Drosophila melanogaster: one gene and its partner. The protein of the gene in region 1 purifies or fractionates together with the protein of each later gene. This does not show direct contact. Each region holds a gene or a part of one and is shown on either strand. Other genes may lie near its edges.

The links.
Region 2: the proteins of pon (region 1) and par-6 purify together in Drosophila melanogaster (affinity purification with western blotting, with the first as the bait; one study listed by BioGRID). This does not show direct contact.

What each region holds. Positions count from the first base shown.
Region 1 is NC_004354.4:4,634,474-4,639,763, reverse strand, and holds pon (partner of numb), read right to left. Parts: upstream 3,447-5,290; 5' UTR 3,312-3,446; coding exon 2,847-3,311; intron 2,653-2,846; coding exon 1,105-2,652; 3' UTR 652-1,104; downstream 1-651. Other genes in the region: CG3081 (uncharacterized protein), read left to right, coding at 1-439; Alms1a (alstrom syndrome 1a), read left to right, coding at 3,864-5,290.
Region 2 is NC_004354.4:17,701,424-17,707,654, forward strand, and holds par-6 (par-6), read left to right. Parts: upstream 1-1,928; 5' UTR 1,929-2,227; coding exon 2,228-2,302; intron 2,303-2,948; coding exon 2,949-3,177; intron 3,178-3,244; coding exon 3,245-3,996; 3' UTR 3,997-5,673; downstream 5,674-6,231. Other genes in the region: CG8188 (uncharacterized protein), read right to left, coding at 1-353, 778-786; CG8173 (uncharacterized protein), read right to left, coding at 6,212-6,231.

The DNA of each region.
Region 1 (5,290 bases):
AGACGTTCTCCTCCGGCGTCCAGCTCGACGTCTCTGCCACAAGGTGGCTCCAGCTCCCAGATGCTGTCCCCCATCGTTCGGCGGACATGGTCATCACCATGGACATGGACACGGACACGGACATTGCTTGACCAGTAAGGCGGCATTTCGCGCCGGAGTGCCCAAGCATAATGCCTCCGGTGATTTCGTGGGAATAGAACCGGGCTGCGGAGGAGGTGGCGGTGGCGGTGGTAGGGTTCTGGTGGTGCCACGCCCCCGGCAGCCGTATGCCAAAAAGAATTACGACATCGAAACCCTGGTGCCGCCCTTCCAAAGCCAAGCGGGCGGAGCGGGTCAGGGCGGCTATCCAGAGCACTGGCGATTGGCCAGTGTCTATCAGCACGCCTACAAGCCCATCGACCAGCGGCGGCGACCCCTTCTCCAAACTGTCTACAAGTAGGTGTGCTCCAGGATGGCAGTCCGCTCAAGAGAGAAATGTCCGGACAAACGGGATAATGAATAATTGAAAGCTATACAAAAATGTCCATAAGCTAAGCAAGTATATTAACTTATCAACTTAAATGTTTGCTAGTCATTAGCATTAAATTGATGCATCTGTACACACAAATTAGTCGGAAAAATCGGTCCAAGAATAGGAAATCACACGTTTATGTATAAAAAAACAAATGTTATATATATTAGAAAGCATATATATATATATATATAAAGATATATGGGCAAACATACATACATACATATATGAATAAACGTGCAAACATCAAGTAACTTAAAACTATAAACAGTGTGCAAATTAATTTGCAGAGTTCGCTTGAAAAATTAAGAAAAAAAACTTGATTAAAAACTAGGTGATGATGTGGTTTTCAGATGAAATAAGGTTTCCTTTCCTTTTTTCGCTGGTCTTGTGTGACAATCTTTGGGTGCAATTAAAAACTTAACTAGGTGCTGAAAAATCGAATTGAAAAGAAGTCAATTGGGTCAATTCAACAAGGGGAAGGCGCATTTCAAAAATAATAACAAATAAATTTAAATGCTTTCGGTTACAGAAATGCCATTTGAAATCCCCTAAAAATCGACGCACCAATTGAATCTGTGGAGCCAACCTGCTCACTTGGCGGTTGCATAGGCATCGTGACTCTTGTGGAACACATGGCGCAGCACGTCCCGCGTGGACCGCCTAATGCTGTTCCGCAGTGAGTGCTTCTTCTCGTTGGTCAGCTGCTCGATGGTCATGTACTCGGTTTGGGCAACGCTCGAGCGGAGCTTCATGGTCCGTTCGCTGGTGTCGATAATGGAGACGTCGGCGAGAACGGGCTCCATTTGCTCCTCCAACTCGGCCGCCTTTTGTGGCCTCCTGCGCAGGCTGTGCCGAATGCTATTGAGTATGTTGTGCTGTCCATGGCCCTGTCCATGTCCATGTTCATCCTTGTCCTCGGACTTTACCTCGGATGGCGTGGTGTGCGACGTGGGATGCATCAGTCTTCGAATGGACTTTCTTATCATGCCTTTCATTCCGATACTGGGCTTAACTTCTGCCGATTTGGCGGACTTGCTTGATCCGATGGACTGCAGCGACTCCTTGCTGGCCGCCTTGGAGGGCAGAGCGGCGGGTCTGTAGGCGCGAACGAAGCGCGCGGGTGCCTTGAAGTCTAGATCATCGGGCTCGTCGTCGGATTCGGATTCGGAGGCATAGGCCACATCGCCGTCGGTTGGCTCCTTTTCCCGTTCCTCTTCTAGCTGCCTTTCCAGGAGCTCCTCCTCCTCCAGCTTCTCCTTCTCCAGATGCTTGGCCCTCTCCTGGAGCTTTTCCCTGAGCTGCTCGTGCAGCTTCTCCTGCAGCTTCTCTCGCTCCAAATGTTTTTCCCTCTCTAGGAGTTTCTCCTGCTTCAATTGCTTCTCCCTCGTTAAATGTCGTTCCCGCTCTGAGACCATCTCCTGCTCTAGAATCTTCTCCTGCTCGAGAATCACCTCTGCTTCGCGGTCCTGCTCGAGCAGCTTCTCCGTGTCCTCTTCCACCTCGGAAGCCTCGCTAATCTCGGTTAGTGTGCGTCGTCTGGTGCAAACCAGACGCCTCTCCACTTGAGTGTCCACCGTCACCACTTCCTGCATCATCAGCTCCTGCGTATTGGTCTCCATGACCAAGGAGACCTTGGTGTTCTTGGGCAGTTCCACCTCCAAGCTATTCCTGGGCAACTCTCTATCCACCAGCACGCCATTCTTCCGTAGCTTCGCCTCGTTGATGCTGTTCTCCAATTCCAGTTGATAGCGATCCAGCTCCTTGCCAATGTCCATAGACGACTCCTCGCTGATGGCGCCCAGCGATCGTTTGGGCGCCGGAACGGGCGAAAAGACCAGCTTCTCGGCCAGCAGCTTGCTAGGCGTTAGCTGCGTAAGGGACATGCCGTGAAAATCGATGCGACAGCCCAGCGTTGGCGTGAATGGCAAGCCGATCTTCAGGCTGGTGGGCAGCTGCTCCTCCGAATCCCTATCGGCCAGTGCCGGATTGGCCACACCCGAGGGATTGCAGGCTGCCTCGGACGCCTCGCTGGGCCGATGGATCTCGAAGGGATTGAGCGAGGCCGGCGCATCACTGCCGCGCAAATTCAGGGCAGGATTCACGAAGCCCTTGGCGGGCGTGGTTGCCGAGCGGACGACCTAAAAATATTATGGCTGAGTTATAATAATATTCTATAGCTATATATAATAAATGTATGATTTTTATGTAGTTTTTAATATATAGATTATAAAGATATTGTTTTATTTAGAAAACAAACACATATGAATGATTTCTACTGTAACTTAACTGCGACAAAAAGTACATCCATGTACGATTAGACTAGTGAACTCACCTCATATGGATTGAACTGCTTCTCGGGCAGCTCCAAATTCAGGCCAGGATTCTCGAAGCAGGCATGCTCGCGCTTCTTCTTCTTGGGCGGCTGGCGCAGGACCTCAAAAGGATTCGTGGGTAGCTTTTGTTGTTGTTGTTGCTGCTGCTGATGATGCTGCTGGTGCTGCTGCTTCTGGGCCAGATCAGCTATGGACTTGACCTCCAAGCCGGGAAACGGATTGGGTTGGCTATTCTCCTTGGCCAAACGACGACGAGCCACCATTAGCTTCTTGGGCGTGGAACTGAAGGCGGCGTTGGTGAAGCAGGATTCTGTCGACGCGACAGCTGCATCCTGTGCGTCCTTTTCTGGGGGTTGTTGCTGCGGATTCGGGGGCGGGGCAGCATTTTTATAGAGCGTCTCCCTTTTGCGTTTGCGCGGCGTCTCCGTGAAAGCCAATGCAGCTATGCTCTTCGTCTCCAGCATTATTCAGTCGATCACAAGTCGATGTGTATATCTTAAGTTTCTTTAATCAGATTCAAATTGTTTTTCTAGAGCAGCGAGGAGCAATTATAAACAACGCAGTACGACACCAAATGCCATTTTGAAAATCCACAGACAACCGGAACCGGTTGCATCGTTAGCCAACACTGCGTCCGAACCGGTTCTCAATAGGCCCTGTTAATCCCATATTACATTGCTGTTAATAAAATTTTTTACTTATTCACTTGTATCAACTAACCAAATGCTTTATTTGAATTATGTACATAATAGTATATATATTATATATGCTTTTTTCATTGATTTTAACATTTCAGTATGTACTTTAGGAAAATGTAATGTAATGTAATTTTAACCAAAATAATCGATATCGATAACAAAGGCATCTAACCAACTATCGCCACCGATAGGCGATAACTTTCGATATCAGGTGGCTCAATTTGTTTTCGAATGATTTTAGCGTCACATCAAACTAGTTTCTAACGCTGCTTCCATGTGGCGAACTGACATATTGAAGGGGAATAAACTTTTTCGACCATGAGAGCGAAGAGAGGAGCAGTCGGAAAGGTGATGATGTCCGGTTCTCGCCATAACAAATTGGCGGAATCATCCCGCGTTCCTCCACTAGCTAGGGAATATATCAGCGCAATGGCCACGGACCGGGAATTAGATCGATTCATGGCCCTTTCGTCGACGGCAAGCAGTGGAGCCAGTGGCAGCACCCACAGTTGTGCCCTGGGATCAGTCCCGCCGCCAGGATGTGCCTCCATGGAACATGAATCGCGACCAGAATCAGGCCACAGGCGTCGCACGAAGAGCAGCGATCATCGTTCACCTGACGAACGGGGGGAAGCAAAGGAACAGCTCCGGGAACTGTCAGTTTCACCACCACCCAGTAAGCACAAAATCAGTCAGTTCACATCACCGAAATCGGAAGTAACTAAGACGAAACCGAATGAATACACTATAATTCCTATTGTATTGGCCAGTAGCCCCAGTTTTCGTTCCGTAGCAGTCACCCAAACCATGTCCCAATCCGCGGAGGACATACGCACACCTACCAAGTCGCCCCAGATGCAAAACAAAAAAACGCAGACACCAGAGTCTGTCCTTAAGTCACACAAACGCCTGGAGTGGGATCCTTCTGCCGATGTGGGCTACTGCAAGAGGGCAATGTCCATGAGTAACATCAGCACGCTGGAGCGATCCGTTTTGGAGGATTGCAGCTGGCGTCAGCCAACACAGCAGCGACCCGAGGCGAATTTGGATGGAGTGCAGCCCCTTTTGGCCGAGGAACCGTCACCAATGTTGGATAAGCCAACGCCGCCACTGGCTTGCAGCACGTTTGTCAATCGCAGCGAACGCACGAAGTCTCTAAACTCTGGAATGGAAAGTTCATTGAGCTCCAATAAAGGAGATCCTAGAAAGAAGTGCCAACGTAAATCCAGGAGACAGGATTCCGAAGTTAGCTCTTGTCAGACGGACTGTCGCAGCAGCTCGCAAAAGGAGTCAACCCAAGGCAGTTCTGAAGCAAAAGATATTCGTGGAAATTTTACAACAGAAGGTACCCAATGCAGTTACAATAGAAATGATACCGAAATTGACTCCATAATGGAAGAAGAAGAATCAATTGACAGGCGTAAGAAAGACGATTTAAGGATTAGTTCGCGAGTACAAGATCCACAGATAAGTTCTCGCAGGCCATCGGTGAGTAGCTCGCGGAGGGAATCGCTGAGCAGTTACAGAAGAGACGACTCCAGGCTCAACTCGCCAAATAGCTCCAGATTGGGATCAGAAGTCAGCTCAAGGGTGGAGAGCTCGCGTTCCAGTTCAAGGCGGGAATCACAAACCAACTCGGTGTACGGCAGTTTGTCGGCCAGTAGCTTTGATTATCACATGCATATGGCGCAGGAAGTCGAGGTGCTCAAACACAATCAAAGGAGACAACAAGAGATGGAGGTTGA
Region 2 (6,231 bases), about 13 Mb from region 1:
CATTTGATGGTGAGCAGAATGTGCTTGATGCCCAGATCCGGCTTCCAGTCCTTCTTTAGTGTGTTCACACAGATCTCCCCGTTGGCGGCCACATTCGGATGAAAGATCTTGGTGAGGAAGTACGCCTTGGGTGGCGTCAGCGGGAAGTCCTTGTTCAGCGTCAGTTTGACGCGGAAAATTCCAGCGGCGTACGGAGTGCCAGCAGGTCCATCGATCAATGCCTGAATATCCGTCACATCGCTCTCATTGATTAGCACCTTGATGCCTTCCGGTGGCGTGGTTTCCATCTCCTGCAGCTCCCTCATCACCTGCCTTATCGTCTGCGGCGACAGGTTCTCCACATTCGAGTATTGCTGCAAATGGGGGAATGGCATTAGTATGGAATGGCAAAAGTTTATATATACAAAAATTGATTTTAATGACAGGGTTGAGTCATTATTTCTAGTTGGAATTGTACTTATTGGAACATACGAACTTTAAAAATGGATGGCAAGTACAGTACAGTACTTGTAGGCAAGGATTATTACATACAAACTTAACTAACAAAATCACATGTCTCCACAAACAGGGTATTTATTAATGAAATTCATACTCTTAGTATGCTGGAAAGTATTTGTAAGGACGCGATTTTAAGCTCTCACTACTAAACCATTCATAAGATTAAGAAGCATCTGTTGGATAGGATTCTTTACAATCACGGATACAACTTCTTAAGAATCGTTTCGTATTATTATTATTAGAATGCTAACAATTATGTGAGGAACATGCTCATCCTACCGAACTCATGATGTCTGAATTTCCTGCTGCTGTGCGTGTGTGTGTCTGTGTTGATGCGGGCCTGCGCTGGTGTGCGTGCGAATCGCTGTCTCAAGGTTTCAGTTTCGTCAGCTTATTCCTGCAGCTGAGCTCTTCGGCTCTCGGATAGTCGCAATTTCACCGCCTTTTCCCAGCTGCCTTGGAAAAGTGGTCCCAAAATATATGAATATGTGCGTTGTGGGCTGGCTTTAACTATTCCTTTGCGTGTAGACTCCTTATGCTTCCTTTGGCCCCGCTAGTCTCCTTGTCTGTTGTTTGGGTTTATGTTTTCACACGCACTCGTTTAAAGACTATATATATATATGTATTTGGTATAGCACCTCCTCTCGAAAATCTTGATTTTTAGTTTTTCTAGCGACTTAAAATTTTGTTTCGTTGGTTGCTTTTGTTTTGAAATCGATTCGCTCAACTTTGTCGTAGCTGCTGTGTGACCTATCTCGACTCTGGCGTTCACATCTAAACAAATTCAGTTGTCTAATTGGACACTTCACGCTCGACAACAACACACAAAAACAGTTTCATTTTACAGTAACCCTCGTCGCTGGCGCTGCGCTACAATTGGGGCATATTCGTGCTGGCGTCTTGCCTGCCTTCGATTTAAAAGCGGGTTTTTATTTATTTATTTAAAAAACGTCTTTGATTAAAACTGAGCATTTAAATATAGCTAATTCTTGTCTTGTAACAGTTAAGCCTCTTTTTTCGTGCAAACAGCAGCCACTTTGCAAATGTAGCGCATCTGAAGATCCACCCAGCCCACACAAACAAACTGTCTCTACACTAACGCAGCAACATGGCTGCTCAGACTCTATCGATATATCGATATATGCACAACATCGGTTCATGCCTAAGTTACTCTGGGAAATATTTAAAAACAAACAAAGAACATACCGTTATTAAAAAAAAAAACTTATTGTTGTGATAAATTCAAAACCTTTGCTAGCTATATTGAAAACAAATTATTATTATTTCTAAGTCTTTTTAGATACTTTCATTGTTGTTTAAATCTATTGCTTATAGCATATTTGTGGTATTTTAGAAAACTGAAATGGTATATTTTGGTTTTGCATTCCCCACGGTCACTCTGGATCTATTACCATCCGATAACCGATAGTGCCTACCAATATCGAAGTACGATAGTGCCCGATAGGTTCATCCATCCATTTTTTTTATTTAATTAGTTTTAATTTAGATTTCTAACTCTAATTTATTGGCGGCCCCCCACTATCGTCGCTCCCCGCCATCGGTACGCTGCACTTTGGTTCGGTTTCGGTTCGCATCGGGCGTATCGGTTCGATTTCGATCCTGAAGATCAGATCAGAATCTGCGGAACTCAACTGCCGTGTTTTGTGTTGTGTGTGAGGAACGGAGAGGAAAACTGTCAGTGCACTCTTGATCGGGCGGATCGGAGAAAATGTCGAAGAACAAGATAAACACAACGTCCGCAACGGCGGCCAGTGACACGAATCTAATCGAGGTGAAATCGAAGGTGAGTCCTAACTTTCGTGGCCCCCGGATTCCACGCCCCTTTCTGCGGCGCTGAGCTGCTGATTCATGCGCTCAGGAATGGGATTAATAGCTTAAATTGGAGTTCTGTGCGTGGAAAGGGGGTCTTTAGTCTGAGGAGCAATGTGTCTACCAATTTGGGAACTCCTATCTGTTGAGCTCGATTGTGTCAAAGCGGCCAGAGCAGGGATTAATGCTTGGAGTGCGAGGTGTGAGGAGCAACTGGTTTCCATCTTAGAAGCACCCCAAAAGTGACAATTTGCCCTTGCGAATGCATCTTACTTGTCGGAATTCCTGAGCTCTGATATGGATTGTTGCAACACCCTTTATTGCTTGGGCTCTTTGCCTGAAAACCAATCTGTTGCGCCTTACTCAAAAACTACCCTGTTTCGTTCATTTTCTGTAATTTTACAGAGAAGGAAACTTCAGTTATTAATTAGTCAAGGTACAATTCTTCAAGATAAACTCCAGTAATAGCTATAAGGCAGTAGATGTACTGCAATTCAGTGAAGGTCCCATTAAATTAGTAAAATGTCTGCATACAATTGAATCAACAGGTGATGCTGATGAACAAACTATACGGGTTTCAAAAGATTCAGCCCCTTTACTAATCAATACGTATCCTTTAGTTCGATGCAGAGTTTCGGAGGTGGAGCTTCAAGCGAAATGAGGCGGAGCAGAGCTTCGACAAATTCGCATCCCTCATTGAGCAGCTGCACAAGCTGACCAACATCCAGTTTCTCATACTCTACATCGATCCGCGGGACAATGATCTGTTGCCGATTAACAACGACGATAACTTCGGCCGGGCCCTGAAAACAGCACGTCCACTTTTACGGGTCATTGTGCAGCGAAAGGGTGAGTATGGGTATGCATAAGATACAATACGAGCCACTCAACCACAATCTTTTCGTTCACTCTATAGATGATCTTAATGAGTACTCTGGCTTTGGAACGATGAAACCGAGAAACCTCATCGGCAGCATACTGATGGGCCATACGCCAGTGAAGACAAAGGCGCCATCGATATCCATACCGCACGATTTCCGTCAAGTCTCGGCCATTATAGATGTGGATATAGTGCCGGAAACGCATAGAAGAGTGCGGCTACTGAAGCACGGCAGCGATAAGCCCCTGGGATTCTACATACGGGATGGCACCTCTGTCAGGGTGACGGCCAGTGGGCTAGAGAAGCAGCCGGGCATTTTTATATCCCGTTTGGTTCCGGGCGGTCTGGCCGAAAGTACTGGCCTGCTGGCCGTCAACGATGAGGTGATCGAGGTAAATGGCATCGAAGTGGCTGGCAAGACTCTGGATCAAGTCACCGACATGATGGTGGCCAACAGCTCCAATCTGATAATCACCGTGAAGCCGGCCAATCAGCGCACACTGACGTCCACACATCGCGGATCCTTTTCAAGGAACAGCCAGCTGTCCAGTGGGTCACATCACACTAATAATACAAACACCTCCGACGAGATCGAGCACGACGATCAGGACGATATTGTGGACTTAACGGGCGTCACCCTCGACGAGAGTCCAACGTCCACGTCAGCCGGCAATCACAACCATCAGCCGCCATTATCCTCATCACCCTCGTCGCACCACCAGCAGGCAGCCTCCAATGCGTCCACGATAATGGCCAGCGATGTCAAGGATGGAGTGCTGCATTTGTAGGATTAACCCGGCGATACAGCACCTCCAGCAGACGCAGCCAGAACTTAAGCAACGGAAAACGCGAATTCATCGCTGAGAAGTGCAGAGGATTTTCAGTTTATCAGACTTAACTTTCCTTAAGATCGAATAAGTTCGTTAAACTCGAGTCAATTATTTAAAGTTATACAAGTTAGGCCAACTTATTCACATGTACACTGATCGCTTGTATATCGCTCACTTACTAAAGCGACTGTCATAGCTCAACCAGCCATGATTTGAAAAGTCACCTTATAAAATCTATTGGTATTAGCCTGAAAGCCTGATTGATTGAGTAAACAACATATCGGCCATATCCCATTCATTTCTTGTTAATCCTGGCCATTCAAATTTAACGTTCTGCAAAATTTCCAGTCCGATTGTAGGTGAGCAATATATAAAACACGATTGTATATACATGTGTAATCATCATACGACTTTCCTCCATACATTCCACGAAACACTCAAAGTCAAAGAAAACACACCTATTCATTTGCACGTTTTTGAATGCAGTCTCTTGTTTTTATCTTTTTTCCTGGCATATATATATATGTGTATTTAAATTTGTAAGATTTACGTCTTGTTATTATTCTTGCTTGTTGTATTAGACTAGAGTGAGACAGCTAGAGGAGAGAGTGAAATAGAGAGAGGGCATCAAATGCTGAAGGCAGATCAATTTATTTAACTTAACCATTTGAAACGGCAATAATTGTAACAAAATCACATATACGAGCACGAATAATTTATAAAAAAAAAAAACATTCCATTTTATGTACTGTGACAAGTCGGAAAAGCCTAACAAAATTATATTTCCTGATTTGTAAGCCTTGTTTTTAATTTGAGCCGATCATTTTGCGTATATCTGCTATGTTTTGTTTAGCTCAATTTCTTATTTTTTCGGCATTACTCATTATATCTGTTTATTTTAAAAACCATTTGTAATTTTTAACTTTTGTTTTTTCGTCATTGTGTCCAATACTCGTCCAAGTTCTTTGTTGTCATTGTCATCACTTAGAGTTATGGAGAAAGGATAGAAAAACGAGGAGATAAAGTTAACAAAACGTTAAGATACAAACGAAACACCAACAGCGCCTTCGCCTTCAAGAGAGCAATTCGATACTTTTTATATATATACAAGAGAATATATAAACGAATACAATCTATGTTATGTACGTACCCCTGTACACACAATTGAATTGAAGTCTGTGTATTCGCTTTAGTAAAATTGAGAAAACGCCACTCACGGCAGATGGGATGCAATGCGATCTGCTCGACTTGAAGTTAACAATATTAATATTTATGGGTCGCAACGGGCATAACTAACCCCATACGAACGTGTACCCTGGGTAGATAGCAAGATCTAGGATAGACAGCAGCGAATCTGAAACTATAACTAAATGCGTATCGCCGCCCAACCACTCCCCTCATATACCCATTTCACATATACCCTTGCATTATCGAGAAATCTGAACTTACATCGAACAAAAGTCGCCAGAATATCCCGATTTCCAAGCAAACGCATGTATATATATATATATACAAAAGCTAATGTGTATTCCCGCTAAGCAACTGAAAAGACCGAAAAGCAAATCACGAAAGAAAACCTTATATTTTGATGTATGTATTATTATTTTTTAATAAACCTAAGAGAACTTGTAACCGATCTGGTGTGTAATTGGTTTTTTCCTGGGAGGCTATAGCAAAACAATGTAAGTTTATTGTTTATATCACAACCAATTCGAGGCGTTAAAGTATACAAAAAAGTTAAAAATGATATTCGGTTCCTGCATTTATAAACGAAAAAATTGTTTCCCTCTGTAAGCAATACTTTTCAATTCAACTGAATTGCTTTCACTTATTTTTAGCTTACAAAAATCAATTTAAATACATTAGCCGGGCCTTAATCAAAAAAGATCTTACATATACCCTTTTGAAGACTGCGAATTAAAAAACCAGTTAACGATATAGTTTTTGTTCCATTTGGGGATTCGATTTATTCGACCACTCTTTTGCTTGCTGAATATGTACAATTTGCTTAAGTGTGCATTCGCGTTTTGGGGCTTTAACCGTAATTGGTTTGTTCTTACAGGGTAAAAATTATAGCTAATTAATTGTACATTCAAAACAAAAATGAGTCATCTAATCAAATTATATTCAAGAGGAAGATTGTGGAGTTCGGAGGCTGAGAATGATTATCAGTCTAATCGCTTTCTGTCGCAA